Drosophila melanogaster: one gene and its partner. Each later gene encodes a partner of the first gene's protein in a complex. Each region holds a gene or a part of one and is shown in the gene's direction. Other genes may lie near its edges.

The links. The genes of interacting proteins can lie anywhere in the genome.
Region 2: the proteins of IntS9 (region 1) and IntS4 are in contact, whole or in part, in a cryo-EM structure (PDB 7SN8), measured with the Drosophila melanogaster proteins. Residues at the interface, in NP_648838.3 of Drosophila melanogaster: Arg2 (codon at 1,817), Arg23 (codon at 1,941), Met88 (codon at 2,136), Lys90 (codon at 2,142), Met91 (codon at 2,145), Asp93 (codon at 2,151), Glu96 (codon at 2,160), Asp98 (codon at 2,166), Arg173 (codon at 2,391), Lys176 (codon at 2,400), Asp203 (codon at 2,481), Leu205 (codon at 2,487), Gly206 (codon at 2,490), Gly500 (codon at 3,429), Glu501 (codon at 3,432), Ile502 (codon at 3,435), Arg504 (codon at 3,441), Val544 (codon at 3,561), Lys545 (codon at 3,564), Asp546 (codon at 3,567); in NP_572488.1 of Drosophila melanogaster: Arg105 (codon at 2,671), Leu108 (codon at 2,680), Val112 (codon at 2,692), Thr115 (codon at 2,701), Asp116 (codon at 2,704), Asp147 (codon at 2,797), Thr148 (codon at 2,800), Ser149 (codon at 2,803), Lys153 (codon at 2,815), Glu156 (codon at 2,824), Gln193 (codon at 2,935), Met196 (codon at 2,944), Arg200 (codon at 2,956), His231 (codon at 3,049), Lys234 (codon at 3,058), Gln264 (codon at 3,148), Asp265 (codon at 3,151), Ser266 (codon at 3,154), Arg269 (codon at 3,163), Tyr302 (codon at 3,262).

Annotation. Positions count from the first base shown.
Region 1 is NT_037436.4:16,101,589-16,107,376, reverse strand, and holds IntS9 (integrator 9), read left to right. Parts: upstream 1-1,749; 5' UTR 1,750-1,813; coding exon 1,814-1,822; intron 1,823-1,883; coding exon 1,884-3,041; intron 3,042-3,098; coding exon 3,099-3,896; 3' UTR 3,897-3,943; downstream 3,944-5,788. Other genes in the region: Zn72D (Zinc-finger protein at 72D), read left to right, coding at 1-423; CG43295 (uncharacterized protein), read right to left, coding at 949-1,401, 1,475-1,525; IleRS-m (Isoleucyl-tRNA synthetase, mitochondrial), read right to left, coding at 3,944-4,591, 4,647-4,983, 5,067-5,788. UniProt on the Drosophila melanogaster protein: Component of the integrator complex, a multiprotein complex that terminates RNA polymerase II (Pol II) transcription in the promoter-proximal region of genes.
Region 2 is NC_004354.4:8,553,798-8,561,056, reverse strand, and holds IntS4 (integrator 4), read left to right. Parts: upstream 1-2,275; 5' UTR 2,276-2,358; coding exon 2,359-4,461; intron 4,462-4,538; coding exon 4,539-5,504; 3' UTR 5,505-5,818; downstream 5,819-7,259. Other genes in the region: CG12112 (uncharacterized protein), read left to right, coding at 1,034-1,136, 1,199-1,404, 1,478-1,631, 1,694-1,836. UniProt on the Drosophila melanogaster protein: Component of the integrator complex, a multiprotein complex that terminates RNA polymerase II (Pol II) transcription in the promoter-proximal region of genes.

The DNA of each region.
Region 1 (5,788 bases):
AAGGTCATCTCGTCGGCTGGCTTTCCCATTTCGCCCGGTGACTGCATGCGTCGCATCATGGAGGCCTTATCGTCAGGCTTTCTAATCAACGGACCGGGCCTGCTGGATCCTTGCGAGAAGGACCCCACAGACGCTCTACTCGAGTTGACCAAACAGGAGCGCGAGGATCTCACTGTGTCCGCACAGCTCTTCCTGCGCTACATTGCCTTTCGACAGATTTACAAAGTGCTTGGCATGGAGCCATTGCCGGCGATGAAGTTTCCAATGCGTCCATGGCGTGTCAACCGCAAGCGACGTAGGTCATCGGGCAAGGCAGGTGGTGCACCCGGCACGGAGACCGAGTCCAATGACATCGATGAGACCGGCTCCGATGAGAAGGTGGCCAAGAAGGAGGGTGTCGGAGGCACTCCTGCCAGCACCTAAGCGGCGAGAATAGGTTATATACACGTAGTCGGCTACTAATATTACAATTTCTCTCAAGATAAAAGCGCGACCAGGCGTCACTTAACTATAACCAACTCTAATCTATACACGAGTATTCAAACCGATTGGGGCACAAGGAGCTAAGCATGTCCAACATGTTGCCCAATCGGCGATTAGTGAATCCCAAATTACCCCAACTTTAACTAACAATATTTAGTGGATCATAAAACTTGTATTTTTCTAGCATTAGTGCAAGGCAAGGCAATGTATTCAGTTTGAATGTGAACATTATGGCCCTCACACTCATATACACAAATACTAGAACGAAGCGGATTTTAATAAAACGTATTGAACAATTATAATTAAATTATTTTTTTAATAAAGATAAGCTTAATTCATTCACGTAACTGGAAATCTTAATTGGAGATAATCTAGCACTGATAATATTCTTCGCTTTATAAATAAGTTCTAATTGAAATTAATTCAAATATATATTTATATATATGATATATAATTTTTAAGGAATTACAAGAAGTCGTTCCACTTAGAGCAAATTTTCTTAGTAACTGTTGGCATATTTTCAGCGGAACGTTTAGAGGATCGTGGCCCTGTGTTCCTGGTTTTCTTAAAGTTCATAGAGATTTCGTCGGAAAGTTCATCGGTTTTCGTAGGTTTTGCTGCAGGCTTTTGAGTAGTTTCAATGGTATTATCCACATAGTTTGCCCATTTATTTGTTTTCTTCTGAGGTGTGGTGTTTTCCTCTTTTTCTTGGCAGTCTTTCTCCTCTTCGAGCTGTTGCTTTGCCGTGAGGAATAAGCCCGTGTTCAGACATTCCTCCTGCATTCCGCGCTCTAAGTTGAGATGCTGCACCTTAACCCGGCATTCCGCTGCCGATCCTCGAAAGAATTCCTTGAGCAAACTTTGCTTTTGGCGGCAAATTTTACACTGCCATGTGCTTGCCTTTTTCACGAAGTCCACCTTGTTTAAATTAGGTATATATATATAAGTAGTTATTGAGTTCTAAGATATATTTCAGTTTGTTTGCACTCACCTGGTACATTTTGCATTGAATGCATTGTACCACGCGAATTTGCTGGGACATTATTCAAATTTGCGAAAAACCAAATAAAGAGACCAGGGATGGAAACCAACAGCACTGCAACAAGTGGAGTGAAAAAAATGTGGTTGCACAAATGTTAAAGCGTGATGACTACAGTTTAACAAGTAGTAAAACATTTACCAAAATTTGTAATTAACTAATTTTGGTACCTATGGTTAATGATTTAGCCGGGTGCTGATTCCGGTTCATAAGTGAACCAAATCGTTCCCCATCCCTGGTCCAAATATAAACAAACTTGCATCGTCTAATCGGCACTGTCGGTTTAATAAAATGCGATTGGTAAGTCATCCTGAGAAGTAAATAACAACTTAATTAGCGGAAGTGACTATCCACTTTGCAGTATTGTCTCAGCGGGGACCTGGCCAAGCCATGTTATATCATTACCTTCAAGGGCCTGCGGATTATGCTGGACTGCGGTCTCACGGAGCAGACAGTCCTGAATTTCCTTCCGCTGCCCTTCGTTCAGTCACTGAAGTGGTCCAATCTGCCCAACTTCGTGCCCAGTCGGGATCATGATCCCCAAATGGATGGCGAGTTGAAGGACTGCTGTGGCCGGGTTTTCGTGGACTCGACGCCCGAGTTTAATCTACCCATGGACAAAATGCTGGATTTCAGCGAAGTGGATGTGATACTTATCTCGAATTATCTTAATATGCTGGCCTTGCCGTATATCACGGAAAACACGGGGTTCAAGGGCAAAGTCTATGCCACGGAGCCAACGCTGCAGATCGGCCGATTTTTCCTGGAGGAGCTGGTGGACTATATCGAAGTGTCGCCCAAGGCGTGCACCGCGCGCTTGTGGAAGGAGAAGCTTCATCTGCTGCCCAGTCCCTTGAGCGAAGCCTTTCGCGCCAAGAAGTGGCGCACTATCTTTAGTCTTAAGGATGTCCAAGGCAGTCTGTCCAAGGTGACCATCATGGGCTACGACGAGAAGCTGGACATCCTCGGAGCTTTTATCGCCACTCCTGTCAGCTCGGGCTACTGCCTGGGCTCGAGCAACTGGGTACTGAGCACGGCGCATGAAAAGATTTGCTATGTCAGTGGTTCCTCCACGTTGACCACACATCCGCGGCCCATCAATCAGTCGGCGCTGAAGCACGCCGATGTACTCATTATGACCGGACTGACGCAGGCGCCGACGGTAAATCCGGACACGAAGCTGGGCGAGCTCTGCATGAATGTGGCCTTGACGATCCGCAACAATGGGTCTGCCTTGATTCCCTGTTATCCTTCGGGCGTTGTCTATGACCTCTTTGAGTGCCTCACCCAGAATTTGGAAAACGCTGGCCTAAACAATGTTCCCATGTTCTTTATTTCCCCTGTGGCAGACAGCTCCTTGGCGTATTCTAATATCCTGGCCGAGTGGCTTAGTTCCGCCAAGCAGAACAAAGTGTATCTTCCAGACGATCCTTTCCCACATGCCTTTTACCTTCGCAACAACAAGCTGAAGCACTATAACCATGTGTTCTCCGAGGGCTTTAGCAAGGACTTCCGGCAGGTTTGTCTAACATAATTGTGAAAACTTCATACTACAAATTCTCTGTCTTCCTTACAGCCCTGCGTGGTCTTTTGTGGCCATCCTAGCTTGCGTTTCGGCGACGCTGTTCACTTTATCGAGATGTGGGGCAATAACCCTAACAACTCCATCATATTCACGGAGCCGGACTTTCCGTATCTGCAAGTACTGGCGCCCTTCCAACCACTGGCCATGAAGGCTTTTTACTGTCCCATCGACACCTCTTTGAATTATCAGCAGGCAAATAAGCTGATCAAGGAGTTGAAACCAAATGTGCTTGTCATCCCAGAGGCATACACAAAACCACATCCCTCGGCCCCAAATTTGTTCATTGAACAGCCGGATAAGAAGATAATAACGTTCAAGTGCGGCGAGATCATACGTCTGCCATTAAAACGGAAGCTGGATCGAATTTACATTACCTCGGAACTGGCCCAAAAGATATCGCCAAAGGAGGTGGCGGCCGGCGTGACCTTCTCCACATTGACAGGAGTTTTGCAAGTTAAGGACAAGGTCCACTGCATCCAGCCATGTGCGGATAGCGTTAAAGACGAGACCATCTCGAGCAACAGCGCTCCGACAAAGGAGGATGTGCTGAAGAACGTCAAATACGAGTATGGCAGCATTGATGTAGATGCAGTGATGAAGAAGCTGGCACAGGATGGCTTCTCCAACATCAAGCTAGACCGCACTGGCGGCGCTCTGACTCTGAACCTTGTCAATGAGGACACAGTCATTAAGTTCGAGGACAACGAGACGCATATTATCTGCGGCGGAAAGCCAACAACCCGGCTCAAGCTGCGAGACACCATCATGAAATGCTTACAGAGTTTTTAAAAACATAAATGTATTCCTTACACCTAAATAACAACACATCATTACGCTTAGTTCTTTGCCTCCATAACGTCAGAGCAACGTTGACACGTTTTCTGCTCATCCTCCAGACCATAGCGACGACAACGTGGGCACAGTGATATCTGAAGTTTACTTAAAGCAATATCCAAGTCGCTATTATGGGACTGTAAGAGCGTAACTGACCCCACTTGCAATATCTCGCATAATTCAGAATTGCTCACAGACTCTCCAAGAGGGCTGTGAAGTTCTCGCAGCAAATCCAGCTGGCTTCTTTCCTTTCCTTTGATGGTCACGGCCAAGTGCCAGGTGTTAACATCTCCAGCCTGTTGGTTAATAAGTCGTTTAACATCGAACGCTGCATTAATCACTTCAGTGGCTTTGGTGTCCTGCCATTCAGGATTAGTCTGAACAATTTGCTCGTGGAATGCACCACCTGTGGTGTCATAGTAGCTCCAGCTTTCCTCCACCAGGAAGGGAACAATGGGCCATAAGCTCTTGCAGAGTTGTTGATAGCAGTGGGTAAGAGTTTGACGAATGGCCAGTAGCTCGTGATCATCACCACAATAAAGACGATCCTTGATGAGATGCACATAGACGGCGGACACCTGATTTGCAATGAAGTTTTGGACACAGGCGACAACACGATTGTACTCATAAGCTTGGTATAGCTTCTCCACCTTAAAAGCGATTGACATGATTAGTTGAAAAACTAAGATTAACAAAATTTCCTACCTCAGATTCAAATTCAACCAGCTGGCTTAACAAATAACGATTAAGATAGCTCTTATCCGAAGTTCGTATAAGCTTCTCCCCCGATTGTTTCTCTCCAATTACGCCTTTTAAATATCGCATAGTTCCGCGGATCTTGCATAGATTTTCTGCCGCTTGCTGCAGTAGCTTATCGCTCACTGTAATGGACATGTGCTGCGTTCCATGGGAGGCAACCCACCAACGCAGTGCATCCGTACCATATTTCTTGGTTATCTGCTTTGGGGAAATTACATTTCCCAAAGATTTCGACATCTTGTATCCTTTCTCATCCACGGTAAATCCGTGAACGAAGAGGGCCCTATTGGATATTAATATTGAATAGGTTTTTCATTAAAAAGTATTACACTAGAATAGAGTCTTTGGTATTACGTATCTACTCACTTGTACGGTGCACATTCCCGAGCAGCAATGCTCATAAGCAGTGATGATTGAAACCAACCGGTGAATTGGTCATAACCCTCAAGATACAGATCGGCTATCTTATCCTTGCCCAGCACAGCGGACCATGTGCTACCAGAGTCGAACCAAATGTCCAGTATGTCAGTGCCCTTGACAAGATCTTTGGCTTCATGGTGAAGTTCACGAAGTAAATGCTCGGGTACCAGTTCCTCCACGGATTTTACCCACCAGAAGTCGATTGATCCCTCCTTGCGGAGCAGATTGCAAAGATGTTCAATAAGAGCGGAATTAAGTACCACTTTTCCGGACTCCCGACTGTAGAGAACAGGAATGGGTACGCCCCACGCTCGCTGCCTGGAGATGCACCAATATGGTCTCTTCTGGAGTTGTGTGAGCAATGCCTTCTTGCTGGCCTCAGCATTGGCTCTAGGATAGATCTCCACTTGTTCCAAGGCATCTGCAGCAGGCGTCTTTAGCTTTTCGGTATTAATGAACCACTGCTCACTGGCACGAATTATCACAGGCTTTTTTGTGCGCCAATCAATAGGATAGGAATGTTCCAGCTTTGAGGAGTGGACTACATCCTCTGCTATGCGGTCGAGGACTAGGGAATTTCCCTGATCCAACACTGATTTTCCGCGTAGAAAATCAGGAGCTTCCTTGGTGTAAGTGCCCTCCTCATTCACAAAACACTTTACAGGAAT
Region 2 (7,259 bases), on another chromosome or scaffold:
GGTCGGCGTCGCTGCTGCTTCTTCCGTTCTTTCTTACTGTCTCACTCTCCCTTCTCACATATCCTTATAAGCACTAACAATTTCTGCTTCTCGCTCACTTTCGTTGCGCTGCCGATGGAGCTCTCTCTTTCACTCCTTGCTGCCTCTATGCCTTTTATGCACTCCCCACACACCCGCACACAGAGTGACATTTGAAGCACATACAGACGCACACGACTGGTTCTTTCGAGAATCGAACATTACCGAATTTATCAAATTGCGCTTCGCAATTGTGCATTTCCTGTGCAGATCGCAGGCCTCAATCGCGGCACGATTGTTTTTCGCCCTTTAGCAACGTTCCCTGTCAATTTCTGTGGATTTATATTGCAATTTGCGTGCGAACACGCGACCGTTTCGCGATAGAGCTGGTTCACGAATCGATTGATGAGCGATGTTATCGATAGACCTGATAAGCGAGAGGTGGATGTGCTCGCTAGATTCGCCAAGGTTGATGACTCCGCTAAGTGAATGGTCCTATTACAAAATATCGATGACATCCAAATTGCTTGTTAAATATAGTTTCAAATTTAACTGTAACATAAAAAAAATGTATTAAATCAATTTTAAAAAAACCCAACTTAGCATTTGTTATTTGGGGAAAGTCCATGCTATTCCCACCTACTCAACTGACAGGACGCATCACCAACTAAATTCGTTAAAAACATTGTGATTATTATAAACAATTAGTATTATTTATCCTGTGGCTTATGCGATTGGTTGTCATGCGATATTCTGGCTTTCACCATGTTCTCTGTACTACTGTACAGTTCCGCCGCTAATCAGACGTCGTCATCACTGATTCACCAGTTACTCATATGTGATGAGCAAGAGGGAGTTTTTGCCCGTGCCCTTACTTTCCCATTCGTCGCCTAGCGAAGGCAATGATGAAACAGCGAGGAATTCCATTTGGAGCTTAACTGTGTAGCGAAGCGAATCGCTTCCATTAGGGACTTTCCTCAATTCATAAACTAAATATACATATGTATTCACTTTAATGCTAAAAATTAACGAAGCAATGCCTGAAATCAAGAGACTTTGCCTCGCCACCGAGAATAGTCATATCGCAGCCAATGCCATGCTGCTAACAAAGATAGATGGTATGTTTGTGACATACATATCTTATAACACCGGATCATATTACATTACCTAACCCACTTAGAACTCAATTCCCAAGTCCTGTCGCAGCGCGCAGAAATCGAAAACTTGACGAGGGCGGTTAAGACACTTACGGAATTCGTTAAGCAGTCGATGAAAACGACCAAGCCGAAGGCGAAGGGAAATCCGGACGATGATTTTCCAATTATGTATGAGGAGGATCTGGTCGAAGTGAATCACAAGATAAGCCAGGACTCCAGGGGGATCTATGTAAGTTTCTCCTTCCTCATGCTTTTCCATCAATAGAATATTATATAGTTGTACTTATATGATCCCTGATCAGACGAATTCCATGCGGAAATTCCTGCGCCAGGGAAGATTAAGCCGCACCATAAGACTCATTTTCTCCGAGGACATCCTTCTGAACTACAATATTGATGGGAATCAGAAAAAGAAAAGACTAAAAGATCACGAACATCTGTTTCGTTCGCTTATGAGTAAGTTTAGTGCTCGACATCCAACTTTTAGTGATCCATTCAATAATTATCCCCAACTACAGACGCCATCGGTCAGGTGGAACCGACGCTACCCTCGGAAAAAGTCTTATTCAAAGCCATGAGATGCGTTAAGAATTGCGCAGCCAAAAAGAAGGGCAAGGTAGATGATGACCCCTTGTCCGTTTTGAGCGTGGAGAAATCATAACTGTGCCCATGTGAGATGACATAGTAGAAACAAGGATTTAAATATAAGTAATGATTTACGGGCGAATCAATCCGAATTGAGGATGAATACCCAAATAGTGGTTGATGGATCATCATCACTTTGTTGAGAAGTTATCACTTCATGGAGAAGAGCGAGAGCAAAACAAAAGACGAAAAGAAAACATCGATTTTTCACTATACTATCGATGTTTCACGCCTTCAAAGTGAAATGTCCAAAAAATATGCCTCGTTTTCTTTATATGATTACTAAATGACACATTTTTTTAAAATAATATAATTATTAAATGCCTGGTGATATTAGCATTATCACTCTTGTGAAAGCAATTTATTTAGTTATGGGTTATCCACCAGCAAGAACCTCTTGCGCGGTCACGATGCCATCGCTAGTGGCGGGTGGTTGGCATCAGTGGTGTGCCATCTCTAATTTGCGGTTTACCTAAACCAGGTGGAAGAGTGCAACTCTAGTCTGCATTGGTTGAATCGCGCAAAGGAAAAGGAAACCATGGCGCTGGCCATTAAGAAGCGCGTAGGCACCTACGTGGAAACGGTGGACGGGTCGCCGCCGGTGAAGAAGCTGCGTCTGCAAACGCTGGCCGCTGATGCCAAGGGCGGGAAATCCGGAAAAGTGGGCAATGTGGAGCGCAAGCTGACGGCGCTCAACCAATTGGACGCCTATGTGGGCAACCTGCCCGCCGGTGCGTTGGTCCTGCCCACTGGGACACCAGTTGCTTCGACGGGAGCCCCGTCAACAGGTGTCATCGGAAATCCGCCGGCTGCGGCGACTGGAGCTCCCCCAATGACGGCCGCGAATAGCAGGGAACTGCTGGAGCTCTTGGTCAAGATAACCGATGAGATATCCTATGAGGACGTGGAAATGGGCGAGCTTAAGGAGGTGGCCAGCAAGATCTTCCAACTGTATCAGCTGCAGGAACGCGATAGCGACACCTCCATCCGGGTGAAGCTGCTCGAGCTGCTGTCCGGATTGGGTTGCGAGTGTGCCACCGAGCAGGCGCTTACCATGATCATCGACTACTTTATCTTCTTGTTGAGGAAGGAGGTGTCCCAAAAGGTGCTCGCCCAGGGCATGATGTGCCTGTTTCGAATCGGGGAGCGCAGGAAGCACATGTTGCCCATATCGTACAAAACCCAGGTGGCCCACCTAGCCAAGGAGCAGCTGCGCTCCGGTTCGGCGCATACGCAGAAGAACGCCATGCTGGTAATCGGTCGTTTTGCCACCAAAATGGAGGGTGAGCGTCATTACGTATGGAAGTTAGCCTTCTACATCGACTCGCAGGACTCGAGCGTTCGTGCCCAGGCTCTGCACGCCCTGCTGACCCTCGGCGAACGGGGATCCCAACTGCCGGCGGTGCTCTATAAGCGTGCCGTCGAGGCCATGAAGGATGACTACGAGTGTGTGCGCAAGGAAGCTCTACAGCTGGTCTTCATGCTGGGCAATCGGCATCCGGACTACATTTTACCCTCGGACCGCCAGCAGGAGGAGCTGCGCATGATAGACGCTGCGTTCAGCAAGGTCTGCGAAGCCCTGTGCGATCTATCGCTGCAAATTCGCGTGCTCGCAGCGGAATTGCTCGGTGGGATGACCGCCGTAAGCAGGGAGTTCCTACACCAGACACTCGACAAAAAGCTGATGAGCAATCTGCGCCGGAAGCGAACGGCGCACGAGAGAGGTGCTCGCCTGGTGGCCAGCGGTGAGTGGTCATCGGGTAAACGGTGGGCGGACGATGCGCCGCAAGAGCACCTCGATGCTCAGAGCATCTCAATTATAGCCAGCGGCGCCTGTGGCGCCCTTATACATGGCCTAGAGGATGAGTTCCTCGAGGTGCGTACTGCGGCAGTGGCCTCCATGTGCAAGCTGGCCCTCTCTCGACCGGATTTCGCGGTGACCAGCCTAGATTTCCTTGTGGACATGTTCAACGATGAGATCGAGGATGTGCGGCTGAAGGCCATCTATAGTTTAACGGCCATTGCCAAGCACATAGTGCTGCGCGAGGATCAGCTGGAGATAATGCTTGGATCGCTTGAGGATTACTCCGTGGACGTGCGTGAGGGACTACATCTCATGCTGGGCGCCTGTAGAGTGTCCACACAAACGTGCCTGCTAATGGTGGTGCAGAAGCTGCTAGATGTGCTGGCCAAGTATCCACAGGATCGTAACTCCACCTATGCCTGCATGCGCAAGATTGGCCAGAAGCATCCACATTTGGTGATGGCTGTCGCCGTTCACCTGCTTTACGTGCATCCCTTTTTCGAGACGCCCGAACGCGATGTCGAGGATCCAGCGTATCTGTGCGTTCTGATACTTGTCTTCAATGCTGCAGAACATTTGGTGCCCATTATCAGTTTGCTGCCCACGGCCACCCATCGCCATTACGCCTATCTGAGAGACTCGATGCCGAATCTGGTGCCCCAGTTGCCCATTGAGGGTGCGTCCTCGGCGAGTGCGACGCACAGGATCGATTCGGCTATGCACCAAGCGGGCAGTTCGGCGGAGTACCTGCAGATGATTCTCAGTCACATCGAAGAGATCTTCACCATGACTGACGAGCGCTTGGAGCTGCTCCAGACTGCCCAATCTAATCTGCAGGTTTGTATGCCCGCTGGGCTTACTACAATATAAATGAACACTAATGTTTACTATGTTTTTTTTTTAATAAACTTTAGCGCCTGGGATCCATTGATGCGGGCATGTACGGCACCTCAAACTTTCTAGAGACCTTCTTGGCGGCCCAGATCCAGATCGAACAGATGCAGCGTTGCGCCAGCACGCAACGAAGCAGGGTGCCCTTGAAGGAATCACTGGCAGCACTCATCCGAAACTGTCTCAAGCTGCAGCACACTTTCTCCGGCCTCAATTACGGCGATATCTTGCAGGTGAAGCAGCTGCGCCTGAGGGCTTGCGCGCTTCACTTGGTCCTCGTGGTCAGGGATCGCTCACAGAGTGCATTGGGCCCGTGCCAGATGCTTTTGCAAACCGCCGGCGATATAAGTGAGTTCATCAAGGCGAATACGAAGGATGAGGAGGAGAAGCCACCGGTGGTAGAGACCGATATGCCCATGAAAGAGTCGGTCAGTAGGGATGCCCAGCCGGATAGCTTCACCCGCCAGCTGCTAATCAAACTGGATGGCATATCGGATCCCAAGCCGGGTCGCGTCTTTCGCGAAATTCTGCCGCTGGTCCAGCAGGCTCCTCCGCTTGCATTGCCACCCGCCAATGACAAAATACGCCGCTGTGTGGCCAACATCCTTGAGCCGTGTCCGCTGCAATCGCAGGATAATGTAATTAAGGTCACGGCTGGCCTGATAGCAGCCGTTCCTTTTGTTGCGGAAATCGACAATCTGCTGGAGTCCCAGAAGGCGGACATGCGGATCAAGATCAAGTATCCGGACCAGCACATGCACACCGTGGTGCCGAAGCAGAGTGACTTCAAGCCCATTATGACGGAGCAGGGCGAGCACAAGACCAATGTGCGCCTGCGCACCACAATCCTGCTGTCGCACAGCGTTTGGACGGAGTCGTCGCTGGTGGAGATCCAACTGTGCCTGGCCGTGCGTCCCGGCAGCGAACTGGAGCTCTGCAAGCCGGCAAAGGTGCTGTTCGCACCCAAACCAGTCAGGCGGGGCATTTAGCCTGACTTCCAGGTAATGGACTAGGTGCTTTTTGTCCTGGCGACGCGGAGCGAGAAGCTGACAAGGCCACACAGCCGCTGGAGGAGGAGGAGAAGGAGGGGGAGGAGGAGAGCCCAGGGAATTGGCGCAACGAGCAACTGTTATTTAAATATATGTATGTGATTGTTTAAGATACCATAGCAGTTGGTTGCCAAAGTTCTTTCTAAATCGAAAAAACCGAATGTTTAGAGCATCAGTTGTGCGTAGCTTACTTATATCATAATCATATGTTTAAGATGAATTCATTTCAAATAAAGTGTGTACCATAAATCTTTAAGAAAATCGTACATCATTTAAAATACTTACTGTGGGGGGGAATGAAATGCCTAAGACTTGTTCTTTTCATATAGTTTCTATAGTTTATTTCTCATTATAGGTTTTACAGCTTACACGTTTTCTGATCATTTTTCTGGATAACCTTTTCTCCATTTTCTCGTTTTGATTATTCTCCTGCTTTTTCTGATCTGGTTGTGGATTTTGTAGACGCTGCTATCATTTATGCTTGTTTGTTGTATACGAATTTTTTTTTAAATCTTAAGTTTATATTTGATTCGCTAAAAACTCATTTTAAAAAAGTACTTTGTATTCTTGTTGTTTTATCATTTGTTTTCGATTTCATTCTGCGTTATATTTAAGTTATTGTTTGGGCCTTTGGTTAGCAATAATAATCGTAATAATCATATGCAAGTAAATTGATCAAGTTGGATATTACTGAGTGGTTAGATAAATAGTTCTTGTTGCAAACATTTTTCAGCATGCTGTGAAAAATATACGTACAATACAAACACATCGATTTCCAAACCACACAAACACACAAAAGTCGATAATTAATAGCGTTTATCGTTAATTGTTCATCGTGTCTCATTGTTTCTTGCTAGGAATCACAGTATTGTGCAAATTACCTTTATTAGTTTCAAAATGTTTGCTTGGGATGTTGTTTAGCTTTCGGCATTCTGAGTTTTCAATTCTGAATTCCTCCGACTGGCGCTTATTAGAGTGTGTGAATTCTTATGATTCTGTAAATGTAGATGTAAATGTAAAATAGAACCCGACACAGGCAGTGCAGTTGTTGTTGTTGTTCTTGTTGTTGTGGTTCTATCGCTATCGAAGTCTAAGCTCTGTCATCGAAGACGAGCGATTATTTCGAAAATTCCACTGATGAACACTTTAGTTAGTTTTTTATTTCATACGACAAAGGAGGAAATATTAGTTTAGTTAATTGGTTTACGTTTGGTTTCTCAGTTTCCACATTGTTATTGACTATTTTGAGTTTTTCTTTTTTGTTTTTGGGAAATCACAATATCTATGCAAAATCTTATACATCTCTCTATATGTTTTGTATGTATATATATATATCGCTTTGTCATGAACATTAGATTTAGATCGTTGTCCTCTATACTGTAAATATATATCATATATCCATATATACGTTTGTATAGCAAGTTTTGTTTTGTATTGTTTTATGTAGTTCTTTTGTCTTGTTGTCCTTGCATGTCCTTTTTCCGATCTAGTTTCCTAGTTTTCCCTCCGCTCTACTTCCTCATCGTATATCTGCTATATCAATCGTTGGGATATGCGTGGTGCAGGTGAATTATGTTTGTGGATCGTTTCGGTTGTCTCCCAATTTTTTTTTTAGTGTGGGCTCGGTTTTTGGGGAGGCTGGGTATTGGTTATTCGATTGAAAACTATGCTGAAGCCGGATATTATAGTTCATTA